Linked DNA regions of Saccharomyces cerevisiae S288C. The gene in region 2 interacts genetically with the main gene of each other region. Each region holds a gene or a part of one and is shown on either strand. Other genes may lie near its edges. The genes, in order: PCL9, KIN82, HSP12 and UBP9.

What was found.
Region 1: mutations in KIN82 (region 2) and PCL9 together harm fitness more than expected from each alone (negative genetic interaction), as found in Saccharomyces cerevisiae (3 studies listed by BioGRID).
Region 3: mutations in KIN82 (region 2) and HSP12 together harm fitness more than expected from each alone (negative genetic interaction), as found in Saccharomyces cerevisiae (3 studies listed by BioGRID).
Region 4: mutations in KIN82 (region 2) and UBP9 together harm fitness more than expected from each alone (negative genetic interaction), as found in Saccharomyces cerevisiae (3 studies listed by BioGRID).

Annotation. Positions count from the first base shown.
Region 1 is NC_001136.10:134,607-142,105, forward strand, and holds PCL9 (Pcl9p), read left to right. Parts: upstream 1-3,684; coding exon 3,685-4,599; downstream 4,600-7,499. Other genes in the region: homocitrate synthase LYS20, read left to right, coding at 1-117; INH1 (ATPase inhibitor), read left to right, coding at 573-830; AIT1 (Ait1p), read left to right, coding at 1,290-2,933; DLD2 (D-lactate dehydrogenase), read left to right, coding at 4,916-6,508; YDL177C (uncharacterized protein), read right to left, coding at 6,603-7,115; GID12 (Gid12p), read left to right, coding at 7,491-7,499. UniProt on the Saccharomyces cerevisiae protein: M/G1-specific cyclin partner of the cyclin-dependent kinase (CDK) PHO85. May have a role in bud site selection in G1 phase.
Region 2 is NC_001135.5:268,274-277,066, forward strand, and holds KIN82 (putative serine/threonine protein kinase KIN82), read left to right. Parts: upstream 1-6,130; coding exon 6,131-8,293; downstream 8,294-8,793. Other genes in the region: FIG2 (Fig2p), read left to right, coding at 1-3,990; YCR090C (uncharacterized protein), read right to left, coding at 4,042-4,590; mismatch repair protein MSH3, read right to left, coding at 8,491-8,793. UniProt on the Saccharomyces cerevisiae protein: Flippase activator that phosphorylates DFN1 and DFN2 and which is involved in the generation of phospholipid asymmetry in membranes by the inward translocation of phospholipids.
Region 3 is NC_001138.5:103,803-110,612, forward strand, and holds HSP12 (lipid-binding protein HSP12), read left to right. Parts: upstream 1-3,453; coding exon 3,454-3,783; downstream 3,784-6,810. Other genes in the region: mRNA splicing protein SMX2, read left to right, coding at 1-130; GNA1 (glucosamine 6-phosphate N-acetyltransferase), read right to left, coding at 181-660; MDJ1 (Mdj1p), read right to left, coding at 899-2,434; YFL015C (uncharacterized protein), read right to left, coding at 2,667-3,161; IES1 (Ies1p), read right to left, coding at 4,050-6,128. UniProt on the Saccharomyces cerevisiae protein: May play a role in a switch from carbohydrate utilizing metabolism to fatty acid utilizing metabolism.
Region 4 is NC_001137.3:352,131-361,007, reverse strand, and holds UBP9 (putative ubiquitin-specific protease UBP9), read right to left. Parts: upstream 5,543-8,877; coding exon 3,278-5,542; downstream 1-3,277. Other genes in the region: AST2 (Ast2p), read left to right, coding at 1-506; E2 ubiquitin-conjugating protein UBC6, read right to left, coding at 694-1,446; ribose phosphate diphosphokinase subunit PRS2, read left to right, coding at 1,947-2,903; SHC1 (Shc1p), read right to left, coding at 7,772-8,877.

The DNA.
Region 1 (7,499 bases), on a different chromosome or scaffold from region 2:
CACGCAGAGGTCAGCACTCCTCAAGTACTATCTGCAAAAAAGAACAAGAAGAATGACAGCGATGTACCGGAACTGGCCACCATCCCCGCCGCCAAGCGGACTAAGCCATCCGCCTAACGTTCCCAAACCATTACATTATGTTCTTTCACTTATTACATACGATATATAGCATCTACATCTACATATCTAAATGATGTTTTTTCCCATCTACTTTGTCCGATACGCATTAAAAGAAGAAGATTTACTCTCCCGTGATGCCGGGCCAATCAGACGCGCGCATTCGCGGCAGAATAAGGGGAGGCTGCTGCGGGTACCAAATATCCAGATATTCACAATTATGCCAATCAACTGTCTAGTTGCTGACACCCATCGTTTTCCACTGCAACGAGGTTTTGGGGCTAGAAAAGGCGTTAACAATCGTTAGAGAAGGAGGGGTTCATAACTTGACTTGTTGTATCTTGTTTAAAACTTTCTTTGAATTTGTTCGTGGTTGAATTTGTTTTTGCTATCCCAAAGGAGTGCATTTTACACGCATTACTACAGCACACTTTTATACAGTTCCACAATAGAATATGTTACCACGTTCAGCATTAGCACGCTCATTGCAATTACAGCGCGGTGTGGCCGCAAGGTTCTACTCTGAAGGTTCTACCGGCACCCCAAGAGGGTCAGGCTCAGAGGATTCGTTTGTTAAAAGGGAAAGGGCCACGGAAGACTTCTTCGTTAGGCAGCGTGAGAAGGAGCAACTACGCCATTTGAAAGAACAACTGGAAAAACAACGAAAGAAGATTGATTCTTTGGAAAATAAAATTGACTCGATGACCAAATAATCATGCGTTTCCGCAGAAGCTTTTTTTTTTTTTTTTTTAGAATATTCTTACTCTTTTATAGTCAAACAGCAGAAAAACTATATAATAATACATCACACTGAGCTTTTGCATTTTCGATAACTATCATTCTAGTTTTCCTCTGGTTTGAATTTTCCTCTTGTCTGTCTGACTAATGTCACTCATTATTTCCACTTCGCGCAAAGTTCGTCCCAATGCGGAAAGGCATAGAAAGATAGGAACAGTGTGGAACATGGAAAAGTTCCAAATAACGTCAATAGTCCATACTTAAGATACGAAATTTCAAAATTCCTTCTTTTTTGTTTCAACAAGCTTAGCCTAACACCAAGAATATACTTAGCATCTCTTCGCATTCAAAATTTCTCTTCCATTCTTTGACGTTTTAAATCATACCTCGTATTCTTTACACAAAAGAAAGATACCTGTGAAATATATCTGAATATGGTCCGATTAAATCATGCAGCATCATATTTTATGCCTATTTTCTGCTCCACAAGGCCTCACATAGTGATACTTTCTGCGCTGTTTAGTATTTCACTGTTTTCACTATTCTATGCGTCGTCCGAATTACTGCTACACCAGTATGATGATCCATTGATGTTCAAACCAAATTCGCAGGACTATTTCAGGACCTTTCTTTTGGGGCTTTTTTCACCATTTCTTTATTATTTCCTGAAGACCTTTCTATTCAATATAAATCAAAGGTTTTTAATATTGAACCTGATAGTGGATTTTCCTATCAACGACGTCTTTATGCTTTTGATACTGATTGGTTTAGCGTACCCTCAGGTGCAAGATCACGAAGGCGGTACGATCAAGCATAAGGAATGTTCTTGGCACATCATTCCAAGACAAGCCTATATCTTTGGTATATCATGGGCCCTGGGTGAATTCACCATATGCATAATAGGGAATTTGTTTAACTACCAAGAAATCGCCGATCCAAACATTAATAGTGGCTTCACACACCAGGAAAGCGCCAACACTTACTGTAACAATAATGATATGAGCCATAACGATGACTGCGGTTGTAGTACAGAATATCGCCCCAACGTCGTAGACAGAAGTGATATTACGTTGTCCAAATGTATTGAAGTAAGAAATGACTCATCTTCCATATCGAATAACGTATACTCGTCTGAGTACCATCCAATCAAACCTCTACGTTCATCGTCATCAACTTATGGCAGCATACGACAGCAACCTCATGAAAATAAGAAGCAGCTGCATGTACCAGATAATTCGCAGGACGATACAATTATCATGATGAACCCCATCGACAATTCATTAAAGTTGACAACTCTAGATACGGGTGATTTGAGTTTCCCCATAGACGAAGAACAGCCCATTTTGAAGAAATCTTTTGGTTATACATGGGCAGTTCCTAATGAAAATACACAAAATACTACTAAAAGCTTCACACCGATAAAGAGATTTATTGCATTTAGCACGGCATACCAGTTGGTCACCGGTTTATTGTTAATGATATTGGTAGTTGGTAGTAATATCATGTTGACAATTGGGGAATCATTGATTCTGTCGATGTATTTCGTCTATGTTCGCGGCCATGAAGGATTATTTACTCCCGTGGTGAACTACTTCGGCTCAAGAACCATTTCAAATTTCATCTTATGCGTAATAATTCCTTTCATATCTCTAAACTTCCTCATCAACACTTCGATATATTTAAGAAGAGAGCTAGACGATTGGTTTAATAATTCACAGGGGGAGTTTGAGGACGACGACGAAAATACTATCAGTAAGAGAGTAGCTACAAATCAAGAGTACCAACATCCACTGAGTGCTAATTACATTTCGATGGATAGTCCTGATGTAATAAATAGCAGCCCGGGTCACTTCGGGATGAATTCAGGCCAGTTGTTAGGTAATACGACGTTATATTATGGTAGTTTAAATGGGGATGATGATGATATGACCAACGACTCCGCTTTACTAAGATTCTGCAAGAAGCTAGTCAAAAATTGGAGGGCTTTGGCAAGAAATGATTCTTTTGTACTTGGAGTAATGGTTTCTTGGAGTCTTCTTGTTTTTGTAACGGGAATACTTTCAACAGTTTATATATAGCATATAAGTAACGACCGTGCACATATTAGGGTGTTCATATCTTGAAAAATCTTTATGTTATCCATTTTACTTTAGGGGAGGTGGAGCTTAATAATAAAATTTACATAAGAACAACAATCTGTAAGTAATTATAAAAATATATTAAAGGGACATTTTAACCCTACTTTAAAAGTTTAACTACATCAGTGGTTCATCAATCAAAGGTTATGCAAGGTAGAAATTTGTCCAAAAGAAAATAGATCATGCATCATTCAATATGGAGCTCACACTGTATGCTACAATTTGGCCTCCATTCATAACTGCCAAGATAAAATTTGTTGGCAATATGGAGCTCACACTGTATGCTACAATTTGGCCTCCATTCATAACTGCCAAGATAAAATTTGTTGGCAATATTGAAAATTCTTAAATTAGCGCTGCGCGGAAACCAGCGTCACTAATTTTTTTTTTTATTGCTGCACTAAAAAAAAACCAGCTCAAGTAGATAATCTTACAAGGGACAAGTAGTCAAGCCTTGCTTATTATAATTCTGTTTAACGGTGCAGTGAGTTTGGACATTCATGCAACGTGGTAAATATGTGTCTCTTTGCTTCTGTATTTAAGCATTTGGGCAGCTTGCGGTCAGTAGAAGAGTGCATCGACATTCATAGATCTCTAATAACATATATTTAAGTGGATATACGCAAAGAAAGGACAAGAAAACTTGTTTCGGTAACAGCATTATTAATTCTGAAGAAATACGCACAAAGAGATGATTTCTGACTACGATGCTCTTTTGCAATTCAACAAAAAACCTGTTTCGCAAGAAATGATTCAGTTCTTAGCCACTTCTACTGCTTCCATAATTAAAATCAGGGAAAATAATAATCCAATCCAAGGATGTCGCCCACCAGACTTATCTATCTTCATTAAAAACGTGGTAATTCAGTCAAATGTTCAAACACCAACTTTAATGGCCACATCAGTTTATTTAAACAAACTGAAAAGCGTAATACCAAAAAATGTGTACGGTATTAACACCACAAGACATCGGATATTTCTCGGATGCTTGATATTAGCTGCCAAAACTCTGAACGATTCTTCTCCCTGGAACAAACACTGGACCACGTACACAGAAGGTTTACTCAGAATACGTGAGGTGAATACCATCGAACGAGAACTATTAGAATATTTAAATTGGGATGTGAGGATAACTACACCGGATTTGATTGATTCTCTTTCTTACTTCCTCGGGCCTATCAAGGAACAACTATTTTTACAAAGGAGACAAGAAATGCTGTTGTTCAATGCACCAAGTCCCGGCCAACTGAAAGAATATATAAATCATAGAAGACCGGTTTCGCATTCTAGAACTTCTTCTGCTATATCGGTTCCTTCACTGACATCCATGGCAACAGTTTCGACAACAGACTCAAGGTCTTCTCTACTGGCAAAATACCAACCGTCCCTACCGTTGGTGGAATCTGACAACTTCAACAAAAAAAATCATGTGCCGTTAAGGAATAATAACGATATCTGTAATAATTTCAGGGCAGAGGAAAACATACACTCAGTAAACCATATTGATGTAACAATGGGAAGTTCACCAGTAATGTCGCATAAGCCCACAATTCACCAACGGTTAAATTTTACAAGGAGGGGCTGGTCATCGTTTTTCAAGCAATAATTCTAAGTTACTCGCCTTTTACAAGCTCTATAAATATTCTTTTCCGTTCTTTAGTTGTCTTAACTTTGTACAATATGAATAACCATCGTTTCTAGGCTACTAAAAAAACACCATACTACATAAACAAATATCTAATAATGAATACTCTTGGCATTCGTCTTGTTTCTCGAGGAATATCGGCCGAGTTTTTTTCATTTTGACAGGTTATATAATTCAAAATCTATCTGACTCTGAAAAAGTGGTAATAAATGCATTGACAACTTCTTCTCTTTATTTTACAGACATTAATCCAGCACTACAAGTGGCATATAACAAGATGCTAAGAAACATTTTGGTGAGAAGTACTGGCAGCAATTTCAAATTTGCTGGCAGATATATGAAATCATCAGCTCTTTTAGGATACTATAGAAGAGTTAACTATTATTCGACCAAGATACAAACCAGACTGACTAGCGAAAACTATCCAGACGTGCATCGAGACCCTAGATTCAAAAAATTAACGTCCGATGATCTAAATTATTTTAAATCTATTTTATCGGAACAAGAAATATTAAGAGCCAGCGAATCAGAGGATCTTTCATTTTATAATGAAGATTGGATGAGAAAGTACAAAGGACAGTCCAAGTTAGTATTGAGACCTAAGTCAGTGGAAAAAGTTTCTTTAATCTTAAATTATTGTAATGATGAAAAAATTGCCGTTGTCCCACAAGGCGGTAACACGGGGTTGGTAGGTGGTTCTGTGCCCATTTTTGATGAATTAATTCTATCTTTAGCAAATTTAAACAAAATAAGAGATTTTGACCCTGTATCAGGTATCTTGAAGTGTGATGCTGGTGTAATCTTGGAAAATGCTAACAATTACGTAATGGAACAAAATTATATGTTTCCGTTGGATCTGGGAGCTAAAGGTTCCTGCCATGTTGGTGGCGTGGTTGCAACCAACGCTGGAGGACTAAGGTTATTGCGTTATGGCTCACTACATGGAAGCGTTTTAGGCTTAGAGGTGGTAATGCCCAATGGTCAAATTGTTAATAGCATGCATTCCATGAGAAAAGACAACACCGGTTATGATCTGAAACAGCTGTTCATTGGCTCAGAAGGTACTATCGGTATCATCACTGGTGTTTCAATCTTGACTGTTCCTAAGCCAAAAGCGTTTAATGTATCTTACTTGTCTGTTGAAAGTTTTGAAGACGTTCAAAAAGTCTTCGTCAGAGCCAGGCAAGAATTATCTGAGATTTTATCCGCTTTTGAATTTATGGATGCTAAATCTCAAGTATTGGCCAAGAGCCAATTGAAGGATGCTGCCTTCCCTTTGGAGGATGAGCATCCATTTTATATTCTTATCGAAACGTCAGGGTCAAACAAAGATCACGATGATTCCAAACTTGAAACATTTTTAGAAAACGTCATGGAAGAGGGCATAGTAACGGATGGTGTAGTGGCACAAGATGAAACCGAACTCCAAAACTTGTGGAAGTGGAGAGAAATGATTCCAGAGGCAAGTCAAGCTAATGGTGGTGTTTACAAATACGATGTTTCTTTACCACTAAAGGACCTATATTCTTTGGTTGAAGCCACTAATGCAAGACTTTCTGAAGCTGAATTAGTGGGTGATTCGCCCAAACCAGTGGTGGGCGCCATTGGATACGGTCACGTGGGTGATGGTAATCTACACTTAAATGTTGCAGTTAGAGAGTACAACAAGAACATTGAAAAGACTTTGGAACCATTTGTCTACGAGTTTGTTTCCTCAAAACATGGTTCCGTTAGTGCCGAACATGGGCTAGGTTTCCAAAAGAAAAATTACATTGGCTATTCTAAGAGCCCGGAAGAGGTCAAGATGATGAAGGATTTGAAGGTTCATTATGATCCTAATGGAATTTTAAACCCTTACAAATACATTTGAAAATAAAATGCCAAGTTTTATAGTTATCTACATATGTATATATTTATCAATATTATATTCTACAATTGTGTATATTATATGGTAAGGGTGATATTTAAGGAAGAAATCCACCCTTCTTTAAGGTTTCCACTGCACATGTTGAAATGTGTCTGAATCTTGATGAGCCCAAAGGCGTGCCACCATACCATCTGGTCACTATTACCAAGACGTTGAATATGTTTGCTCTTTCAAGTAAGGTCAATAAACGCTGTCCAGCACCAGCTTCGCCACAGTCAGCACATCCTTGCTCAATGTTCTTTGGCTGCACCGTTATGTTCCTTGACTTGTTAACATGACTATTATTACTCTTATTTGCTTTATTGCCCTTCTTTTTCTGCTCTTGTTGTAAGTGCAAATTATTTGATACCTCGGCCGTTCTCCAGGCATACATGTGCATGTGGGATGCCTTGGAGACGCTTTTGTTGTTTTGCGTTAGTTCTTGGAGTATGGAGGGTATATCCTTTTGATTTTGTAATGGGCAACATCTTGCTTGAAATTTCGATTTTCTATCAACTAAAACTTCTGATTCATTCCATATTTTCACTAGCTTACCAACATTCTTACTCATTTCTCCAAAAAATAGTAATACCAAACATCAATACCTATCTAAGAATCTGTATAATGTCTTTTCTAAAGGTTTTTTACAGCTGATGATTGATGCATGACTTATTTCCACAGTGCCGTATTTTCTCAGTTGCCGTTTTGGGTCTGCTTTTCACAATGCGAAGCTTTGTTGAAAAGAGCTCTAAGGTCAAAAACAATAGTAAGCTGATCGGTATTAAGTACTTGCCTTCCTGAAAATTGCTAACAAACATCCAAATATACCTTCCCCATAGTTGAATGGCATCTAATAGAACAAAACCAGGTTAAGATAGGTTTTACTTTGAGTTGTTAAATACACGCAGAAAGCGTCTTTCCACATAATCTGAACATTTTGTTATCGATGGCTACT
Region 2 (8,793 bases):
TTGAGGTCATCCAGTATGGCACCAACAAGTGGTTCTGATTCAATCTCACACAACTTTACGAGCCCCCCCTCTAAAACAAGTGGTAACTACGATGTTTTGACTTCAAACTCAATAGATCCTTCTCTATTTACAACTACGAGTGAATATTCATCTACACAATTGTCGAGTTTAAATCGGGCCTCAAAAAGTGAAACAGTTAATTTCACTGCTTCTATTGCTTCCACACCATTTGGTACAGATTCGGCTACTTCTCTAATAGACCCCATTAGTTCAGTGGGTTCTACAGCATCTAGCTTTGTGGGAATTTCAACCGCCAATTTTAGTACACAAGGGAACTCGAACTATGTTCCTGAATCAACTGCAAGTGGAAGTTCACAATACCAGGACTGGTCAAGCTCTTCTCTTCCGCTGTCACAAACCACTTGGGTTGTCATCAACACAACTAATACACAAGGGTCTGTAACGTCAACCACATCCCCGGCTTATGTTTCTACGGCCACCAAAACGGTTGACGGGGTGATCACCGAATATGTTACATGGTGTCCTCTAACACAAACCAAATCACAAGCAATTGGGGTCAGTTCGTCCATTTCTAGCGTTCCACAAGCCTCCTCATTTAGCGGTAGTTCTATTTTGAGCTCCAATTCCAGCACTCTTGCTGCCTCGAACAACGTTCCTGAATCAACTGCAAGCGGAAGTTCACAATACCAGGACTGGTCAAGCTCTTCTCTTCCGCTGTCACAAACCACTTGGGTTGTCATCAACACAACTAATACACAAGGGTCTGTAACGTCAACCACATCCCCGGCTTATGTTTCTACGGCCACCAAAACGGTTGACGGGGTGATCACCGAATATGTTACATGGTGTCCTCTAACACAAACCAAATCACAAGCAATTGGGATCAGTTCATCCACGATTAGCGCCACACAAACCTCTAAACCATCTTCAATATTAACATTGGGGATATCGACCTTACAATTGTCTGATGCCACATTTAAGGGGACTGAAACTATAAACACCCATCTCATGACCGAAAGTACTTCAATCACAGAGCCCACCTATTTTAGTGGCACATCGGATAGTTTTTATTTGTGCACCAGTGAAGTTAATCTTGCGTCTTCCTTATCTTCTTATCCAAATTTTTCATCTTCAGAAGGCTCTACGGCGACCATTACTAACTCTACCGTTACATTTGGATCGACCAGCAAGTATCCATCTACTAGTGTATCTAACCCAACAGAAGCCAGCCAACATGTGAGCTCTAGTGTGAACTCACTCACTGATTTTACTTCAAATTCAACCGAAACCATCGCAGTTATATCTAATATTCACAAAACTTCGTCAAATAAAGACTATTCATTGACGACTACGCAATTAAAGACCAGCGGAATGCAAACGCTTGTGCTTTCTACTGTCACAACAACGGTGAACGGTGCTGCTACGGAATACACAACGTGGTGCCCGGCATCAAGTATTGCTTATACGACATCCATATCATATAAAACATTAGTTTTGACCACTGAAGTCTGCTCTCATTCTGAGTGTACTCCAACGGTTATTACCAGTGTTACTGCAACAAGCTCTACAATCCCCCTTTTATCAACCTCTAGCTCTACGGTATTATCTTCTACAGTATCCGAAGGTGCAAAAAATCCCGCTGCTTCTGAAGTAACTATTAATACCCAAGTTTCTGCTACTTCCGAAGCTACTAGTACTAGCACTCAAGTGTCTGCTACTTCTGCGACGGCCACTGCTAGCGAGAGTTCAACCACATCCCAGGTTTCTACTGCTTCCGAAACTATTAGCACTCTCGGTACTCAAAACTTTACCACTACTGGAAGCTTACTTTTCCCGGCTTTGTCTACTGAAATGATAAATACTACTGTGGTTTCCCGAAAAACCCTAATTATTAGTACAGAGGTATGTTCCCATTCCAAATGTGTCCCAACAGTCATTACCGAGGTTGTTACTTCGAAAGGCACGCCTTCTAATGGACATTCTTCTCAAACTCTACAAACGGAGGCAGTAGAGGTGACATTGTCATCCCATCAAACCGTAACTATGAGTACCGAAGTATGTTCTAATTCGATTTGCACACCGACTGTTATTACATCTGTGCAAATGAGAAGTACTCCTTTTCCATACTTAACTTCTTCAACGTCAAGTTCCTCTTTAGCCTCCACCAAAAAAAGTTCCTTAGAAGCCTCCTCAGAAATGTCCACCTTTTCTGTCAGTACGCAAAGTTTGCCTTTGGCATTCACAAGTTCAGAAAAACGCTCCACCACATCTGTCTCTCAATGGTCAAATACCGTTTTAACTAATACAATAATGTCCTCTTCTTCTAATGTCATATCAACAAATGAAAAGCCCAGTAGTACTACCTCTCCATACAACTTCTCTTCGGGGTACTCTTTACCTTCTTCTTCTACACCTTCCCAATATTCACTATCTACAGCTACTACAACAATCAACGGAATCAAAACTGTGTACACAACTTGGTGTCCATTGGCAGAAAAATCTACTGTAGCTGCTTCTTCTCAATCTTCCCGCAGTGTTGACAGGTTTGTTTCGTCGTCAAAACCATCCTCATCTTTATCTCAGACCTCTATTCAATATACATTATCTACTGCTACCACCACCATAAGTGGTTTGAAGACTGTATACACGACTTGGTGTCCATTAACAAGTAAATCGACTTTAGGTGCTACTACTCAAACTTCCTCGACAGCCAAAGTTAGAATTACTTCCGCTTCATCTGCAACATCTACTTCTATTTCTTTGAGCACTTCAACAGAATCAGAATCTTCATCTGGATATTTGTCGAAAGGAGTATGCTCAGGTACTGAATGTACGCAAGATGTGCCAACACAATCATCCTCACCTGCTTCAACGTTAGCATATTCCCCCTCTGTTTCTACATCATCATCATCATCATTCTCAACAACAACTGCATCAACACTAACGTCAACACACACCTCTGTCCCGTTATTACCATCATCTAGCTCTATATCAGCATCTTCGCCATCATCAACTTCGTTGTTATCCACTTCTTTACCATCTCCCGCTTTTACGTCATCAACACTTCCAACAGCAACAGCAGTATCTTCCTCCACTTTCATAGCGTCTTCTCTACCATTGTCCTCTAAATCATCATTGTCGTTATCGCCAGTCTCGTCGTCTATTTTGATGTCTCAGTTTTCATCATCATCATCATCATCATCATCATTGGCATCGTTGCCATCTCTTTCTATATCACCAACTGTTGACACTGTTTCTGTTCTACAACCAACTACTTCCATCGCAACACTAACTTGCACAGACTCACAATGCCAACAGGAGGTATCCACTATCTGTAATGGATCCAACTGTGACGATGTGACTTCAACTGCCACTACTCCTCCATCTACGGTTACTGATACTATGACATGTACTGGATCTGAGTGCCAGAAAACCACATCTAGCAGCTGTGATGGTTACTCGTGTAAAGTATCCGAAACGTATAAATCAAGCGCTACAATATCTGCATGTAGTGGAGAAGGATGCCAAGCTTCCGCTACAAGTGAGCTAAATTCTCAATACGTCACGATGACGTCTGTCATTACCCCAAGTGCCATAACAACAACATCAGTGGAAGTGCATTCAACTGAATCCACTATATCAATTACTACAGTGAAGCCAGTTACATATACATCCAGTGATACTAATGGAGAACTGATAACCATAACAAGTTCCAGCCAAACTGTAATTCCATCAGTAACGACGATAATAACGAGAACAAAAGTGGCCATAACTTCAGCACCAAAGCCAACAACTACGACCTATGTCGAGCAACGACTTTCCTCCAGTGGGATTGCTACTTCTTTTGTTGCTGCTGCATCCTCAACTTGGATTACTACACCCATTGTCAGTACGTATGCTGGTTCGGCGTCAAAATTTCTCTGTAGTAAGTTCTTTATGATAATGGTAATGGTGATCAACTTCATTTAATTTCCCGTATATATTATATGTACGTATATATGCTATAAACAGACACTCTTTTTACTTACCTTTAATAATGCTTGATGAGAAATCAGTCATTGTTACTTCTTCCCCAAGGTTGTCATCATAATCATACCATTCATTATCCTCTAGTTGGCATGACATTACTTTCCCCGAACTTAGAGAAACTTCAAACGTTATGGTGTCGGGATAAAATTTGATTAATTCACAACCTCTGCAATCAAGGCTTAAAGGAATGAAAGAATCTTCTTTGACCTTCGATAAACCATGCTTCTTCCGCACATCTTTTATCTTGGCCCATTTGTCGTCACTCTGATCAGTTAAATATTCATCCTCAAAAGCGCACAGGTTAACTGACAATTCTTTTGAACAAAATTTACACTTCATCAAGAAAGATGCGGTACCTTTTGATGCCGGCATAGCATATTCTTCAAATGTATTGATGATGACTTTAGAATCGTGTAATTCTCTACAACTGGTACATTGTAGATCGAAGGCAAATTCTGCCCTTGATTCGTTTGTATTCTCAATTGAAACCTTGGTCACGTTTTCTGATAATGTTGCTTTCAGAACCAAAAATAACGGCATTATCGTACACAACCTGGTTTTCTTTATTGGTTAAGTTGTCTTTATTCAAAATTTTTCATTACTTCTTATAAACAGCTTCTTGACGCTTGTAATTTCATAAGTTTTTGATACAAGCAATGGAAACAAAATTAAGAAAATGTAGGCAACGAAGAACTAAATTTGAAAAAAAAAAAAAAAAAAATTTACTGCCAAGATCATCTAAATTATCTTATAGTAGCAAAGCTTGAGCATAAAAGGATCAATCTTTTAGTTTTTTATGGCAAAGTACATTTGCAGTAAGTAATTAGTGATGAGATAAACAAAGAATAATAATCCAATTCGAAATCAAAAATTCAAACAACAAAAAACATAATTTCACATATATATCTAATTCATTCACGAAAAACACGTCAGTTCCTTCTGTCTGTTGTAAATAGGATGCATCCGCAGTGAATCATGGAAATATTTCAAAACTTTCAGCCCAATCATTTTATTTGGTCAATGAAGCCATAAACGCTCCGTAATTCTAAGATTAAAAAAAATTCATAAAAATAAGGACCAATATAAATATATATATTTAATGTGCTAGTGACAATCCTAGTGATAAAATTGCAAATTATACTACAATTGGTCATGGTGAAGCCTAAACACACCATTACGTCTTCACAGTGTTATTCATTTTATTTTCAAAGGTATGCTACTACTAATGCACCAGTGTATACCATGATACGGTGAAAAGGGCATGTAATATTGCGTTAATTTGTCGATAACCTTTCTTTACGTTTAAATTTTTTTTTTATAACTGGCGACACTAAACTTCTCGATAAAATACAACATAAAAAGCAGTACCTAGCTAAGCGAACAACAGATAATAAATAGCTAAACATCTAGGTTAATAGCCAATTAGCAATACATTTAAGGATTGATAGTGTGGTATTTACAAGGTAATAGCCCGCTAGGCTATAAGGAAACTACTCTAAATTCACCTTCCATATATGTGACTGCCAAGAAAATATTACTAGTTATCAAGCTTTTTTTGTGTGCATTCAACTTCAACGAATCCTTCGTCATCAATGAAACAAAAGAACAAGCCAGAACTGAAAAAAAAAAATCAAAACCACTAAGAATGTCACATCCTTCCAAAACTCCTGCTGGCTCTTCAACTCTTCAAAGAATATCAAGATAAATATCATTATCTCCAGTGTGGCCGACCCATGCATGAGTGCGAGGAGCATTAAGTTGGATCCTGGGAAAACATGTCAAGGACATTCAATAAAGTACTTTTCATACTACAACAGACGCTAGAAGAACTAGAATGTAACCGTGAACTGCCTCTCAAACACATAATTATGATAGCGCCGTCTTCGGCATCCTTTTTCGGAAATATACTTTCCTTTTTCCCTCTTTCAGCTATATTGTTCAAGGAGTAACATAAGACATAATAACCCCAGTTTTTTTAGAGAAAGTTCTTCTTCTTTAATTATAGTATGTTTGAAACGTACAAGAATTCATTGAGTGCCCTAAGGATTACTGCAAACAAGGTTCAACAGTGTTGGTACACATGACTCAGCAAGAATACCGTTCCCCCTCACAACGCTTATCCAAGGGGAGGAGCATGTCGCTACCCAAAATATTTGCTCGTAATTTGAGATCTCTGCAAAACAATGCACCTCCTGGCAAAAACATCAATGTCAATTGTTTGAACGTCAATTCTTGTTCGTTGTCCGCAAGCCCAAGCTCACAAATTAATATGGCTTGTAATGGAAACAAGCAAGATCTTCCCATACCGTTTCCCCTGCATGTAGAATGCAACGATAGCTGGTCAAGCTCCAAACTTAACAAGTTCAAATCAATGTTTAATCATAACAGATCAAAGAGCAGTGGTACTACAGATGCGTCAACTTCAGAAAAAGGTACGCATAAGCGTGAACCCCGGTCGACGATACATACAGAGCTGTTACAAAGTTCCATTATCGGTGAGCCAAATGTCCATAGTACTACAAGTAGCACACTTATACCCAATGAGGCGATATGCTCCACACCTAATGAGATCTCAGGTAGCTCTTCTCCGGACGCGGAGTTATTTACCTTTGACATGCCCACAGACCCGTCATCCTTCCACACTCCTAGCTCCCCAAGTTATATAGCAAAGGACAGTAGAAACCTGAGTAATGGATCTTTGAATGATATTAACGAAAATGAAGAGCTCCAAAATTTCCATAGAAAAATCAGCGAAAATGGCAGTGCCTCCCCCCTGGCTAACTTGTCATTATCCAATTCACCAATTGATTCCCCAAGGAAAAATAGCGAAACCAGAAAGGATCAAATACCTATGAACATAACACCACGTTTAAGGAGGGCCGCTTCCGAACCGTTCAATACGGCAAAGGATGGGTTAATGCGGGAAGATTACATTGCCTTGAAACAACCTCCAAGCTTGGGAGATATTGTAGAACCGAGGAGATCTCGTCGTTTAAGAACCAAGTCATTCGGTAACAAGTTCCAAGACATTACTGTCGAACCTCAATCCTTCGAAAAAATTAGACTACTTGGCCAAGGTGACGTAGGTAAAGTGTATTTAGTGAGGGAACGCGATACCAACCAGATATTCGCCCTGAAAGTTTTGAATAAACATGAGATGATCAAGAGGAAGAAAATTAAACGAGTACTCACTGAACAGGAAATTCTCGCGACAAGTGATCATCCATTTATTGTGACACTGTATCATTCCTTTCAAACCAAAGACTATTTGTATCTCTGTATGGAATACTGCATGGGAGGGGAATTCTTTAGAGCCTTACAAACAAGAAAAAGTAAATGCATTGCAGAAGAAGATGCGAAGTTTTACGCCAGTGAAGTAGTAGCAGCTTTGGAATATTTACACCTACTGGGCTTCATATACAGAGATTTGAAACCCGAAAACATATTACTGCATCAATCTGGTCATGTCATGCTTTCTGACTTTGATTTATCCATCCAAGCAACGGGATCAAAAAAACCCACCATGAAAGACTCTACGTATTTAGATACAAAAATTTGTTCAGATGGATTCAGAACTAATTCCTTTGTTGGTACTGAAGAGTATTTAGCTCCAGAAGTAATCAGAGGGAATGGCCACACTGCAGCAGTAGACTGGTGGACTTTAGGAATATTGATTTACGAGATGCTATTTGGCTGTACTCCATTTAAAGGAGATAATTCAAATGAAACATTCTCTAACATTTTAACCAAGGACGTCAAATTTCCACATGATAAGGAAGTTTCGAAGAATTGTAAAGACCTGATAAAGAAACTACTAAACAAAAACGAGGCAAAAAGGCTTGGTTCCAAATCAGGAGCTGCAGACATAAAGAGACATCCCTTCTTCAAAAAAGTTCAGTGGTCGTTCTTAAGAAACCAAGACCCCCCTCTAATACCTGCATTAAATGATAACGGCTGCGAACTTCCTTTTATATTGTCTTGCAATAAACACCCGAAAAGGAACTCAGTGAGTGAACAGGAAACCAAAATGTTCTGTGAGAAAGTTGCAAACGATGATGAAATTGATGAGGCTGATCCATTCCATGATTTTAATTCTATGAGTTTAACGAAGAAAGATCACAATATCTTAACCTACTCTGAAAATTATACCTACGGAAAAATTCTATACAAAGCAACTTGTACAAGGCCAAGGCATAACAGCTCACATAGAAGTTTCTTTAAAGACATCATACCTGAACTATAACATGTTTACAGAAAGATAAACCCATGGCCAAATTTCTGTATTGTTTCTCTCAATTTATCTTATGATAAAAATGTAAAAAATTATTTAAAAGTAAACAAATAAACAAAGGAACAATTCAAAAACGAGAAAGTGAATGAAAAATATAATATCATTTATTGTCTGATAATGCTGCATTTAGAACATACGTACCATCCGCATCAGTGGATATCCAATGATAGTAATTTCGCGAGTTTATCCGTTGCTGTTATATTATCACTTTTTAATATTCTTTTCAAAGAGCTGAATAATTTCAACGCGTCTTCGTTAATGGATTCCTTCCGCAATTCTTCTGAAATACTGAATGCCCGATTTATAATATCTTTGTCCAGGCGTGCCAATTTCGCCACATTCATCCCATAACTATTATAAGTCAATCCCTTTTTTAACTTATATAGAAAAATTACACTCATCCAGTCCTCGCCAGTTTTTTGTTCTTCCACGTAATCCATATGATAATTCCT
Region 3 (6,810 bases), on a different chromosome or scaffold from region 2:
CTTAAACGTCGTTCTTGATGATGCAATGGAGATAAATGGTGAAGACCCTGCCAATAACCACCAGCTAGGCTTGCAGACCGTCATTAGGGGCAACTCCATAATATCCCTAGAGGCTCTAGATGCCATATAAAATTATATATATATATATATATGTCGACCTCTATGTACTATACAGCAATACTATTTTCTAATTTGCATTTCCACGCCTGCGTTGCTAAACCCACATTTTTCATAGAATTTGACATTTTTCTCATCGCAATCTAAAATAATCTTATAACAACCGTAGTCAAAGCCGATAGTTACCAATTGATCAATCAAGAGCTTGCCCAAACCTTGGCCCTGATACTTGGAGTTTACTGCAATGTCCTCGATGTGGCCACATAGCCCCAGTTCATGAATGATCTTTCTTTCGATGATGATATTCCCCGTAGCGGCAACCGTCTCGGTGCGCTTGTCCACAATCACCATGGGGTTATATTGCATTATTTTTTTATCTTCGTTATCATTCCATACTGTGGCTTCATTCCAGTATTTTATGAGTTTGCTGAAGGATTCGGGGGTAATAGTGCCCACGGTGGTCAAAACCTTTAGCGTCTCAGTGACCTGTTCCAAATCCCCCTCTTCCATTCGCCTTATATAAAATCCATCGGGTAAGCTCATTATTTTATGTTGATATCCAGCTTCCGTTCGTCAACTATTCTCTCGAGCTCAGTTTTGGGTTTTGGCATGTAAACAATGCCTTCGCTTGTATTACGCAAAAAAAAAAAAAATAAATAAAAAAAAAAAAAAAAAAATAAGGTATAAATCGTTGGTTCTTTTATGCACAATTATTTAACTATAGTTATCTATTTACGTAAAGGCTTCTATTTTTCCTTATCTACAAGAAATTGCATGAAGTTTAATTTTTTTTGTCACCTTTGATCTTCCTGAATGTGTTGGTAATGAAATTTTCTAGTCTCTTCAAAGTGTTGTCGTCATCCTTTTTTGCGTGTTTTTCCTCTTCTTGTTTTTGTTTCTTCAGTATCTCTTCATTAATGGCTGTACCCGCGGCTGTGCCCGGTTGCATGGTTTTCTTGGCCATGTCATCGTTGGTGACATCTGCCAGTGCCTCCCACAAGCATTTTTCTGCCAGCGATTGCGGTTTCTTAACAACGATCTTGTACTGGACTTTCATATCACCGCGAATGGTTGATGTTTTAGGAACACCCATGTTAGGAATGGATATCACTTGATTGTATTGAGTCCCTGGAGCGACCTTTATCCTGATCTTTTGTCCCTCCACAGTGGGGATAGTGACAGTACCACCAAGTGCAGCTGTGGTTATAGGAATCTCCTTGTCGTACCAAATATCGTACTTGTTCTTTATCGAAAAGTTGGGATCCTTGTCGACACGAATTCTCACCAAAATATCACCTCTTGATAACTTGACTGAATCTTTCAAGTCCGCCTCTACAGCGATGTCAGGGTATGAGCCTTGGCCAGGGATCCTGACCACGTCGCCGTCCTGTAATCCATGTGGCAAGTCCACCGTAATTGTCTTTGCCCTGTTGACCTGAACACCCTCACCATGGCACTTGGTACAATTGTCCTGAGGCCGTTTCATGGTACCTTCACCGTTGCAAGTAGGACAAGTCGACATCATCTGAAATCCGCCCCTAATGTGAACAGTGGTTCCTGTTCCGTGACAAGTGCTACAACTGACCTTATGCGTGTTTGGTTTCATTCCCGTCCCTGAACAGGTACTACAAGGGTCCAGCGCAGAGAATCTTAACTGAACGTTCTTGGACCCAAACACTGCGTCCTTGAAAGACACTTTATGGACAATCTCGATTGGGTCGCCCCTATATTGTCTGAACATAGATGACGACCTGCTTGCGCCACCGCTACCGCGGCCACCACCACCAAATGCAGCACCAAACAGGTCTTCAAAATTGATACCGCCAAATGGCGAGCCGCCTGCACTGGTGAATCCTGAGAAATCATGAAATTGGGAACCAAAGGGAGAGCCACTACCACCACCGGCACCTCCAGCGGCACCGCCGCCGCCGAAGGCAGCGGGCCCAAATTGATCGTACTGCTGCCTCTTCGTTTCGTCTGACAGAATTTCATAAGCGTTCTGTAAATCGTGGAATTTCTTCTCAGCATCCGGTTCCTTGTTGATATCCGGGTGGTACTTCTTTGCCAGTTTGTAGTATGCTTTTTTGATTTCCGCACCTGTAGCAGATTTCTTCAAGCCTAAAGTATCGTACGGGTCCTTGAATGCTTCGTTGTTTCTGATTGCAGAAGTATGGAAGCTAGATTTTGGTATTCGTGGAGCGATGGATGCAAACGCGATGGCATGTCTATAAAGAATATTATTGATATGGCGAGAATGTCCCACATGGTGTCTAAAGACACCGGAACACCTTGACAATACACCTTGTTGGAAAGCCATTGTTATGTTATGTTTAGAGTATGATATAGGACTTCTCTCTCTTTTTTTTTTTTTGTCCAGGTGGAGTGCGATTTGTTCGTTATATGCCTCATTCCTTAATTTTTATCAGTCAGAACGTTATTTCGCGCTGCAAGTTCCTTACTTTTCCATAGAGTTCCACAGGATGTAAAGAAAAATAATGATAAAAAAAAGCAGAACATATTACCCTTCTTTTGGAGCGTACTTCCATCTGTTACCCGCTCATCCAAATGCACATTCTGTTACCCTCTTGTTCGGTATTTTTCGGAGTTCTCCTTTTCTCCTTCTTTTCCTCTTGATACACAGAAAAGTGGGAGAAGGTAGGGGGAGTCAGAGAATGAAGAAAAAAAGGGGACGCGCAAATCCAAGTGAAAATCTCCGGGAGCGGGCGGATCCCACTAACGGCCCAGCCGAAAATGGAAAAAAAGGGTCGGTGATGTGTGGGTGCCAGCTGGCGGTAGCAATGACGACGTGTTGACGGGCCCTTGGCTCTTGGGACAAGGACTAGAAGCCAAAAGCCAGAGGCGGTAAAAATAGCAAGACTAGAATATTGCTGGCATCTGTTAAGGGGATATGTTGCAACTTGCAGGGGGCGGCACAAAATAACATAGAAACGTAGTAAAGAGGGGAAAAGGAAAAGGAAAAGGAAAAGGAAGGAAAAAAACCCATTGACGTAGAAATTGAAAGAAGGAAAGGTATACGCAAGCATTAATACAACCCACAAACACAGACCAGAAGCACTCTAGACGGAGAGTAACTAGATCTACAGCCCCTGGAAAATCGTTTGGTCAACTTTGAGGTTCCGGTCGTCCCCCTCTTGATCTGAAAGGTCTTTCTCTAAATCTATATTAAAACGTATAAATAGGACGGTGAATTGCGTTCTACTTCCTCAATTGCGTTTGATCTTATTTAATCTCTCTCTAATATATAGAAAAAAAAACCATCTGATTATTCGATAATCTCAAACAAACAACTCAAAACAAAAAAAACTAAATACAACAATGTCTGACGCAGGTAGAAAAGGATTCGGTGAAAAAGCTTCTGAAGCTTTGAAGCCAGACTCTCAAAAGTCATACGCTGAACAAGGTAAGGAATACATCACTGACAAGGCCGACAAGGTCGCTGGTAAGGTTCAACCAGAAGACAACAAGGGTGTCTTCCAAGGTGTCCACGACTCTGCCGAAAAAGGCAAGGATAACGCTGAAGGTCAAGGTGAATCTTTGGCAGACCAAGCTAGAGATTACATGGGAGCCGCCAAGTCCAAGTTGAACGATGCCGTCGAATATGTTTCCGGTCGTGTCCACGGTGAAGAAGACCCAACCAAGAAGTAAATCTTTCGGAACTCTTTGTAGTTACATGGTTTTTTCTTTATGATGTGTGATGTTCCTTAATATTATATTCAATGAATAGCAGAGTAATAAAAAAATTCTAAAAAAAAAACGCTTAAATCGAGGTGGAATATATAAACTTAAGTACGCATATACTCTAGTTCAGTTTAAAAATTAGCTGTTTTTTTAAAAAAAAAAATTCTCTTTCTTTACAAAATGTTCTTAAATGTATGTATGTGTGTGTGTGTGTGTGTGCGTATTGTTCTATTTCACTCCAGCTTAAACATGGCGGTTGCTTCTTCGTCATCAATTTCCGCGCGTTCGATTTTATTTAAAAGTACTTTCTTTGAAGCGCCGAGATTTTTCATGAAATCCGTCTCAAATCCAAGCAAATTATCTTTGAATTTCTTTCTCTTTTTACCGCGAATCCCAAGCACTGACGCTACGGGGATGTCTTCAAATTCATTGAATATCTTGATTAACCCAATATCGCGTCTTTTCAACCTGTTTGGCACCTGGGATTTTTTCAAATCGGCGAGAAACTCCTCTTGTGTCTTACCATTTTCTGACACATGCTTGTTCAGATCTAGCGATATTAGCTTGTCGACCTTGTTTACCGTAGCCGAACTATTGTATTTTTTCAATGGTGTTAGATTTAAATCGTTTTTGTCAATGATAGCAGCGGAGGTGATTTCTTCTTCTGTTTCTGTTGGTGCTGCTGGCGTTACTTTGGGCAGTTGTGGTGTGACTTTTTTCCTGTTCAATGTCATGGGTGAAGAAGATTCCAGTATGGGCGTAGGCGTCAAAAGTGATCTAGTCTCCTCTACAGTCTCCTCGCTCTTGTCATCTTCCCCTTCACCGTCCTCTTCACTCTTGTCACCACCGATACTGGGCTTTTTCACCTCTGTAACATTGGTACGCTCGCGCTTCCTACCCTCCTCCATCTTACTCATGAATTCTCTTCTCTTGATGCGTTGGTTGGCTCCGAACTCTAATTCATCTTCAGGATCCGTGTCGTAACTGCGTTCCGTACACCTTAAAATGAACTTTCCAGCAGGTGCACCATCTTCCAATCCATTGAAAAATCTTACTGATTCTTCGACCTCCTCCTGGCTTAAGTTTGTCTCCAAATGAATATATAGCAGCCAAATCAATATGTTTGATCTATCCTTTGGCTCGTATTTCGAATAGTCCAGTATATCAAATAATGTTGTTGCATAAGCTGCTTTTGATTCTTGTTTTTCATTTTCCGCTTCCGTTTCTTTTACTTCATTCTGTTCATCTACCATATCTTGCTCCTGAGCTTTCGATTCGACTTCCACATACTTGGAAAGAAACCTCTTGTCAATTAGGCCGGAATTATCACATATGCTAAACAACATATTAATAATGTTAAATTTGTTAACGGTGTCCACTTCACCATCATTTTGGTCGACCTTTTTGTAAGTCTCCATCAATGAGAGTTGCTCATTGCCCCACGGCAGATTTTTCAGAATAGATTTCAGTCTAGGTGTATCCTGCAAAAGTTTCGGATCATTGGCATGTAATTGTAAAACTGGCACGGAGTGAAAAGTTCTCAATTGCGATGTCATTTCTAAATAAAAATTTATAGTGGTGTTCAACCTACCAATGTTGACCAATAACGCTAAAACACAAGTAGAAAATGCTACTTGTTGGTCTAATAATAGTTTATCTCTGAGAATTTTGGAACATTTGATAGAAGTGGCTATTGTCAACACATACAATTGTGCGAACGTCAATTTATCGTTAAATACAAATGTCCTTGCATCGTACTCTTTGTCGGTCACGTTGATTGATAATTTATCGCCATCGATATTAATGGGTACAATAGAGTTCTTGTATAGGGGTTTTAGAACATTAGTGAAGATTTGCCTCTTGTCCATCAACAGTTCTTGCATGAAACTGAACTGAATGTCCTTTCTATTGAATGGCTCGCCGTCAGGTTTCTTCAAATGACGATTGTATTTACTGGCATTGCTTTCTTTGGGTTTCCTTCTAACAGTGTTAGTTGTCACTGGCCCCGTTGCCGTACTTGCTCCTGTTGCTTCAGGCACTGTAGAAGGTTCGAAGTTGAGCAAGATGTTGGTATTTTCTTCTTCACTTTGCGTGGAGTCATCATCATTTTTATCGTCGATTTCAATCTCGTGTATAACTGGAATGCTTTTTGTAGTCACAGTCTCGGTCTCTGATTGAATGGAGCTTGGGGATGCTTCTTCTTGTGATCCCGATTTTACAGATTGCATTGGAGAATCTGCTTTTGTTTCGTCAGAATTGTCTTCTCGTAGTTGGAAAGTATCATGAATTGGATCGTATACTCTCTTCCCCATCTTTAATTAGAGTGTCGCCTTTATTTAGCTTTCGATTTTACTTAGTTAATCATGAACTGTTTCCAATACCATATCAGCATTCATTGGGCGTTCTTTACTTACTTGTACCGTTACCGCATTCGAGGGTAACCTGTTTTTCGTTGTACACGATATGCTACAGAATTGTCTTAATATGGGCTAAGAAAAAAAAAAGTCTGATTATTTCTGATACTGCAAAATATATACTGGCTTGGTTAAGAAAAGTGTTGCTTTAGTTCCTTTACATCAAGAGTCGTTAAATTGTTTTGTGTCATAACAGTAGTGGTCTTTTGAGACATCAATCGACTCTCAGGTTTTCCTTCTGTTCATCTTCTTGTTTTCGGTAAAGGTCAGCCAGCATATTTCAATTCTCTCTTTTTTGAAATAACATTATGTAATCTTTCAATCCTTTCTATCCAACGTCTGCTAAATAATTTATTCAAATGACATGTAGACCAGAAAATCGAACGTTGGATAATTTTTCATCCTGAATCATGTTGGTCTCAACTAGAGCAATTTTTTCACGTCCTCTGACACAAAACTCGATAAACTGTCGCATCAGTTTAAAAAAATATGTACGTGTATAATAACTGAATTTAAAAGGATAGTAAATAATTTTTGCATTTTATGGAATGTCAAAATACTAATAAGTCGCAAATATAGC
Region 4 (8,877 bases), on a different chromosome or scaffold from region 2:
GAAAATCTAGTAAACCACTCAGACGTATGTTGGATACCGGTAAAGTTGTAGATTATGATGATTTTAATACTCTCAAAGAAACCGAAGATTATACTCAGGGTAAATTTAATGTCGTGTTGGACTTCATCGGTGGTTATGATATCTTGAGTCACTCGAGTTCTTTAATTCACGCTAAAGGTGCTTATATTACAACAGTTGGTGATTATGTTGGAAATTATAAGAAAGACGTCTTTGATTCTTGGGATAACCCTAGCGCCAATGCAAGAAAAATGTTTGGATCAATGTTATGGTCATACGATTATTCTCATTTTTACTTTGACCCCAATATCAAGATTATCCCCAAGAAGAATGATTGGATACATGAATGCGGCAAGCTGCTAAATGAGGGAGTCGTAGATTGCGTTGTTGATAAGGTTTATTCCTGGAAAAATTTCAAGGAAGCATTTTCCTATATGGCTACACAACGTGCTCAAGGTAAGCTTATAATGAAAGTTGAAGGTTTTTGAAATGGGAGTTTCTGTCTCCCTAGGTTTCACCTCATTTTTATTGAGGTTTCTTGGTCAATACATACTCAAAAATATAATTAATAATTCACAATGTTCATAATAAAAAGATCCGTTTTGTCTATATAATACTATTGATTTCTATTCTGTGTTGTCAAAATTTATCTAAAGTTTAGTTCATTTAATGGCTTCATTTCATAAAAAGGCCAACCAAAAACAAAAAAATAGCGATACCAATATAAACCATTGAAGAACTATCATTAGGTTCTTTGCCATCTTTCTTGGAATTATTTTCTGATTGTCTCAACGCTTGTTCAGCGCGTATTCTGTCTTCAGGGTCTAGAATTTCCTCCAACGAGATGACTTTTTCCTTCGCAGCCTTTGTAAAAGGGTCTTCTGTTTCATCACCTGTATTTGCCGCATCCCCCTCATCCAATTTTCTCTTTTCTAATGTCTCTACATTTTCCTGTACAACTTCCGGAAAAATCAATTTGAATCTAACATTTTGAAAAGTGTTATAACTTATGGAATTTCTTGCTAATGTCTTCTTCTGATGGTCTGATGTTGTAATTGATCCTGTCGTGGCTTCATCACTGGTCATGAAACTTAGTAACCCGTTCAAAATGGTTGAGACAGACCAGCCAGGATTCCAAGTATCAGGGTGGTAATCACTCATAGAAAGGCATAATCGTGTGTTGGGCTTGAAACGTCCATTCGGTGTTATCATTCTGATAGCCGGTGGTTTGTATGGATAATCAGACGGGAAAGTTAAAGTACCGTGATATTGACCGCCCTTGTAAGGAGTATCCGCAGGTCCTGTGATAATATAGTGCCACTCTAAAATATTATCTTCGTTGGGGCGAGCAAGAATATATGGTGGAGGGTTTTCCACCATCAACTTGTACTCTTTCGTCAATCTCTTGTGAGCCTGCTTTGTAGCCATTACTATTGTACGTACTTTGTTTGCAATTTGCGAATGCGGTTTTAGTTAATATTTAAAGTCTTTTCTGCGATATGCGATGGTAGTCTTCTTTATCACGGCTCCTAAAGTGTGATAATCGGAAAGTTCCTTTCTGTTCTCTGCAATCGATTTCGGCTTTTTCTGAACACAAATAACCAAAATTTCCTTATTTTATTGGGGAGGCTATCCTAATTGTAAAGTGCAATATTGCTGTGGAAGGATATCGACTCAAGCGACCAGTGGAATAGGATGGCGAGTTGGCTAGTTTAGCTCTCTCCGACATTGTTGCTATTGAACAGATACGGTATGCCCGTGTATTTATCCTCCTACCAAATCGCGCAGCAAAATGGTTAAGCACGTGACTATTTTTCAACAATGAAAAAATTTTGAACAATAGATGATATGAGGAGGCATCGAGGGATTGCTAAGAAGAGGATATTCCTCATCATCCAAAGACTATCTTGTCGTAAGTTTCGTTGAATATGTCTACAAACAGTATTAAGTTGTTAGCTGGTAACTCACATCCTGGGCTTGCTGAGCTTATTTCCCAAAGGCTTGGTGTACCGTTATCTAAAGTGGGGGTATATCAGTATTCAAATAAAGAGACGTCTGTTACAATAGGGGAAAGCATTCGTGATGAAGACGTATATATCATCCAAACTGGTTACGGGGAACATGAAATCAACGATTTCTTAATGGAATTACTTATCTTAATTCACGCTTGTAAGACGGCATCAGTCAGAAGAATTACGGCAGTAATACCAAATTTCCCTTATGCTAGACAAGATAAGAAGGATAAATCGCGGGCGCCCATCACTGCGAAGCTGATTGCCAATCTTTTGGAAACTGCGGGTTGTGATCATGTTATTACTATGGATCTCCATGCTTCACAAATTCAAGGGTTTTTTCATATCCCGGTTGATAATTTATACGGTGAACCAAGTGTGTTGAATTACATAAGGACCAAAACAGATTTCAATAATGCGATACTGGTATCGCCTGATGCTGGTGGTGCGAAAAGGGTGGCTTCTTTAGCGGACAAGCTGGATATGAATTTTGCCTTGATTCATAAGGAGAGGCAAAAAGCTAATGAAGTTTCGCGAATGCTGCTTGTCGGTGATGTTGCTGGTAAGTCATGCTTGTTGATTGACGATATGGCTGACACGTGTGGTACGCTGGTGAAAGCCTGTGACACATTAATGGATCACGGTGCTAAGGAGGTTATCGCTATTGTCACACATGGTATATTTTCTGGCTCAGCTAGGGAGAAGTTAATAAATAGTAGGTTATCAAGAATTGTTTGCACCAACACGGTACCTGTTGATTTGGATTTGGACATTGTCGATCAGGTGGATATCAGCCCTACGATTGCAGAAGCTATCAGAAGATTGCATAATGGAGAATCAGTCTCATATTTATTTACACATGCGCCTGTTTAAAGAAGAGGTATAAACGAATATATTTGTATAAATGTACTAACAGATATTTTGAAAAAAAATGCGTATATCTATTCAGTATTAGCGCTTATGCTGCCACCAATATTCTTCATCTGGTCTCTATGAGATTTTCATTAAAGCTTAATCTTTTCTGATTTACCGCCCTTGCTTTTGGAAAATATGTGAAATTTTATTGTGCTCTAAAAAAAAAAAGTTATTACAGTAGGTGAAGTGAAATACAACTAAATTCGAAAGATCAGGAACAATAGAAAGAAACGTGGAAATTATTTAAAAAAGGAAGAAAAAATGGTACACTAATATTGATACTTTTAGAACAGATGGGTCTCAACTATATGATGTATCGAAACAATCCCGATTTATTTGATGAAGCTCAATATTCTCGATTTTCTTTTTTGCTTATTGCGTTTTTTATCATTTAATGGCGTCTTGGTTTCTGCAGTCTTAACTTCAGGTATATTCCCCAAGGTCTTTTTGCGTTCAATATTTGCAGCTGCCCTCAATTTACGATCCCTTAACCAATCATCGCATTTTATTAACTGTTCAATGTTATTGTCAGTCTGCATTTGATCTTGACTAGAAGTGTCTATATTTTCATTTTGATTTTCGGTCTTATCAGCCTGTGTTTCTTTATAGAATAAAACGTAGGCTGTAGTTTGATCACCTGGATGACCTGTGAATTGTAACACAGTTTCTTCTTTTATGGATTCCACCGTTTCGTCATCATACAAAAGCCACCCAAACTTTTCGTTCCTGCAAATGCATACGTAATGACCATGCTGTGGACCGCTCCCCATATGGATGACGACGCCGCTTAGTTCATATTTTTTATATACTGATGTATTAAAAGTGGAAGAAACATCCAAAGTTAGTGGATAGAGTATTTTGTTAAAAAGTTTGATGTTTGACTTTTGCTCCTCTGAATACTTGAATCTTTTTAGGTGCAATGACAGAATATGGGGCAGTTGCTTCAGTCCGACCATACGTTCTGCTTCTTGTAAACCATAACATTTGTTACAATAAAATTTGTTAACCCCGTTCAACATCTCACGCTGATGATAGCTTTTTAACATCTTCTGGATATCAGTCTCTTCATCACCCTGTACTTCTATTGGAAAGTCTAAAAATGGTTCGTCCCTTGAGGTGATATTGTCACAAGTTAAACATTTGATCCTATTCGTCAGTGTACCTTTGAATAAATCCGTTATAAAGTTGTCGTTGCTGTTGTCTGTCTTTTGTGGTCCGAATCTCATTCTGGGATTATTGCGTTGAATATATTCACTGAAATCATTTAATAAAAAGTTTAAAAATTCATGGGCATCTTGTTGCATCATAGTGTTGAACAAGACGTTTTCTTTTTTTAAAATTTTGACAAACTCTGTAGGTGAAACGATACCGGTTAGCGACAAGTTTTCAGTAATAGACTCAAATATATCTTTTAGTCCATTGTAAAGTGTAGCTTCCTCGGTTGGATAAAGTAAATGATCTACGTTAAGAACGGGGCCTCTAATTAAAGCGGCTTTTTTTCTTTGTTCACTTGTTGGAAACGTATTCTCTTTATTATTATTAGAATTGTTGACAGCATCGTTACAGCTCTCAGGGTTAACAAGGACATCATCATCCACTGATGTAATCCTACTGCCTTGTGAATCACACTGGCAATGCGAATTTGCTTGACAATCTGTAGTTGAAGCTTTTGATAAGGAATCGCTTTGCTTTAAAAGCGGTCTTCCCACAATAATTTTTTTACAGCCTTCGTGAAGCTTCTCTGTTAATGTATCAGAGGCCATTACAACTGTGTGAACAGGCTGAGGCCGTTCCATCTCATTGTTATCATCTTTCTTTGCAGAATCTTTATAGTTCGATTTATCTTTTCCAAAACCCATAAACGAGTTCCTTTTTCTTTCAAAATTATTCTGTTTTTCTTGAGTAGAAGAAGAGGAGTTATCTTGATCACTCTGCTGAAGGTGGTGGTGGTTATGTGCATCTTCATTATCATTGCTTTGGTACCCCGTATTAGAATTTCCGCTATTAGTAGATGTTTCAAAACTTTCATTAGTGAATACCCTTATTTTTGAACCCTTCAAATCACTTTTGCGTATTCTGTTTACTGCGGCTACTCTTTCAGGATATCGCAGCACATTACACCTAAATTCGGGGATATTATAAAGGCATTGTAGAACGGAGTTGCAGTAGCAAGTATTCCCAAAATTTTCATAACCAAACACTTTATTGGAACCATCCCCATATGGCATTAAATCTGTAATAGTAGTAAATAGTATGGAGGACTCTGTATCGAACGCACGATCTTCATATGTAGTCGAGGAATCGTACTCTCTTTCATCTGAAGTACTTGCCATATTATGGTAATGCTCATGGTAATGTTTATTTCCTGCAAGGTTATCCGTTTGACTACTAAACTTGCTTCTTCTTTCATGGCTCGCAAGATTAGAAGGTATGCTTGATGTACTACTCTTAGCACTTGGTGATTTCGCTATGGAGGGATCTCCAGAACCTTTCGTTTTCTTCAGGCTAGTTGCTTTCCGATTAATTTCGTCATTACCTTGAGTGTTCTTCTCCGGGTGTGACTTTTTCCTATTCACAGATAACCATCTTTTTATCATTTTTCATATGGAAGACTCGTTGCCTTTGGTAAATGTTTTAATTTTCTGTTTATTACTGATAATGCAAATACTTTTTTAAGGATCGAGCTAAGGTTTTCGACACATTCAAGCTTGTTCAAGCGAAAGGTTGAGTTCGCCCCTAGAAGTTTAATAAAATCGGAAGTTCCAAATACAGCTTCGATGGACCTTATTGAATGCAAGAGAAACGTTTTCTTGTGGGGGGGGCGTATATCGTTTGGAAAGGAACAGAAGTGCAACTTTTTCAACCCATAATAGAAATCGCGCATTGACATTAATAAACGCGATTTCCGGGGTAAAAACCGCATATAAAGTATATATGGCGTACAGGAGCCCAACTGCTTTTTCTTTTGCTGAAGGACAATTGAGATACGACAGCGTGATGCTTTGTTGGAAGGTGGCTCCTAACCCCATACATACACTGTATGATGTCAAAAAAGTACTCCGATACGGGGAGTCGAACCCCGGTCTCCACGGTGAAAGCGTGATGTGATAGCCGTTACACTATATCGGATTACAATACACGTATGTGTTGCATCTCAAAATGGAATACGTCAGTATGACAATACCCACCTAAAATATTCATAAAACACATATTGAGATGTTGGTGAATTTTAAAATAATTGTTGGGATTCATTGTTCGTAAACGCTATAATATTGCGTATACAGAATATACTAGAAGTCTCCTCGAGATATGGAATCCATAAAAGGAGAATCTGTTGGAACGAGAGTAATTAATAGTGACATGAGTTGCTATGGTAACAATCTAATGCTTACATCGTATATTAATGTACACCTCGTATACGTTTAAGTGTGATTGCGCCTATTGCAGAAGGAATGTTAAACGAGAAGCTCAGACAATACTGAAGCTGTGTTAAACACCTATTAGTTGAACATGTTATGGTAGGTACATATATGAGGAATATGAGTCGTCACATCAATGTATAGTAACTACCGGAATCACTATTATATTGGTCATGATTAATATGACCAATCGGCGTGTGTTTTATATACCTCTCTTATTTAGTATAAGAAGATCAGTAATTATTTCTTCATTAATACTATTTTTTTACCTCTAATTATCAACAGAATCGATAAATCTACATATTGTTGTTATTCTTTTTTCTTCCATTTTATATGTTCTCGTTTATTATTCTATCACGATCTGAGTCCCTGCATTTCGGCCTCCATTAAATTTGATGAGTGTTTCTCAATTTTTTATGTCATCTTCCCGCACCGTATATGATTGTATACCAGTATTATGAATATCAGTACACTAGTTGATAGATGATGGCTGATTCCTATTCCAAGAAAGTTTTACTTAAACTTTTATATTTCTACTATAGGTTCTTGTCTGAGTAACGGAAACCACCTGCTCTAACAAAATCTTAGTTTAGTTCAAGGTTACATTTGCTGCATAATCGTTGTGGTTCTGGAGTTTTATCCCGCAACGAAATTCTAATCTATGGTTGAAATTTAATTATGGAAAAACTCATTTATGATGCTAAGCAAACAGGTCTTAGTGTGAGGGGGCATTGATCTTGAAAAATAGTCAATCCTACCCGCAGAAATTACTCCACAAAGGTCTGAAAGGAGACGCTGTTGCGTATTTGATCAATGAGGTGTATACCTCTTATCTTAAGCGGTATATAATAGCTTTATATCCCGATACTTGAATTATGCTTATGTAGGAAGAAGTGACACTGATTGCTCATTTGTGCCATTATAATGTAAGCGTTTGTTTTACAAGTGTTAGTGAAGGTACAATGTATGTTATTATTTTTTTTCTTCATCGTTTCTTTTCAAAAGGATGAGATTTTGTTTTAAAATATTACAGATTTCCGCACCAAAAAGTAAATATTATGAAAAAGACACATTAATTTCAACGCTGGGAAAGTAAATAAGTATAACGTCGTATATGATAGAACTAAGAAAGGCCGTGACTTAACTGGTCCATAGCCAATGCCACGGCATTAACGATAGTAGTGCTCAAATACATCTAAAAATGCAGCATATAGGATCTGCGCTAAATAACAGAAGGAGTTTAGTCAGGTTTATTTATTCGATATACAGCAAAGTAACAAATAGTAACGAAAGGTGTGAGGATCAGTCTATTTTTGATCAAACAAACTTCTAAAGTTAATCGAACTTCCACAGTTTGTGAAAAAAAAAACAACAAAATAAAAGGAAAACGAAGTTTGTATTTATCTATTAAATCAACTTTTTGGCTGCCACAGCTTCATGGGAGGTTTTATGATATTTCTGTGCCGAAGGAGGATGTCCTCGCGAAACAAACCCTCCACTTCTGCGAGCGTCTTCTAGTATTCTTGCCGATTCAGTATGCCCTAAAGCCGCCGCCTTCTCATACAATGCCATAGCATAATCTGGATCCGAAATGATAAGATCTTTATATCCCGTCATATAAATATTGGCTAATTCAAAAGGAGCACCACAAACAAAGCTGCTAGCCATAGATGTAGCCCTTCGCAACCATCTATAACCATCCATTTTGGTTAGAATATCATCTGGAAGACCCATCAAACCATGATACGAATATACTCCTAATTTGTACATTGCTGCAGGATGGTTCTTAGTTGCAGCAAAAGTCAAAAAGTTAACCGCCTTCGGTGCATTTCTGGTTACACCCAAGCCGCACTCATAGCAAATGGCAGTTCTGTAAACACTTTCGATGTGCATTCTTTTGGCTGCAGCGGAGAATAAAAGAAATGCTCTTCTATTCTTTATTTTACCGAAAACTCCAGAGGAGTAGGCGTCACCTAGAAGGTACTGTGCATCAGGGTATCCAACGGCACTTAGTTTCTTCAAAATAACTTTGGCATCGTTCACTAAATATTCCTTTAAAGAATCTACAGAGAAGCTATTGCTTTCATCCTCCAGTTCCTTAACAAGTTCGTGTAGTTTTTCGGTATCCAACCCTACCCTTAAAATGTATTGTGCATACTGAAAATTAGAATATATGTCTTGAGTTTTCTTAACTACCTCCCCGTACATTTCAATGGTTTTCCATCTTGGTAGCAAGCTCTTCTTGTTTTTCTTGCCAAGGTGAAATTTGGCCACATTATGTGATTCTGATGCAGTCACCTCATTTGTGAGGCAAAGACTATTGTAAACGTTAAAATCTAGTGACACATGTCTAGGAAGTGAAATGGAACTTGTACTTCTATTGATATCGTTTGAAGAGCCTGATCCGCTTGGATTATTCAAAAAGTCCAAATCATTCGATTGACTAAAAGACAGAGCGACAGATTCATTCTGAGAGGGAGGGGGCTCAGCGAAGTCGTGAAACTCGGAATTAC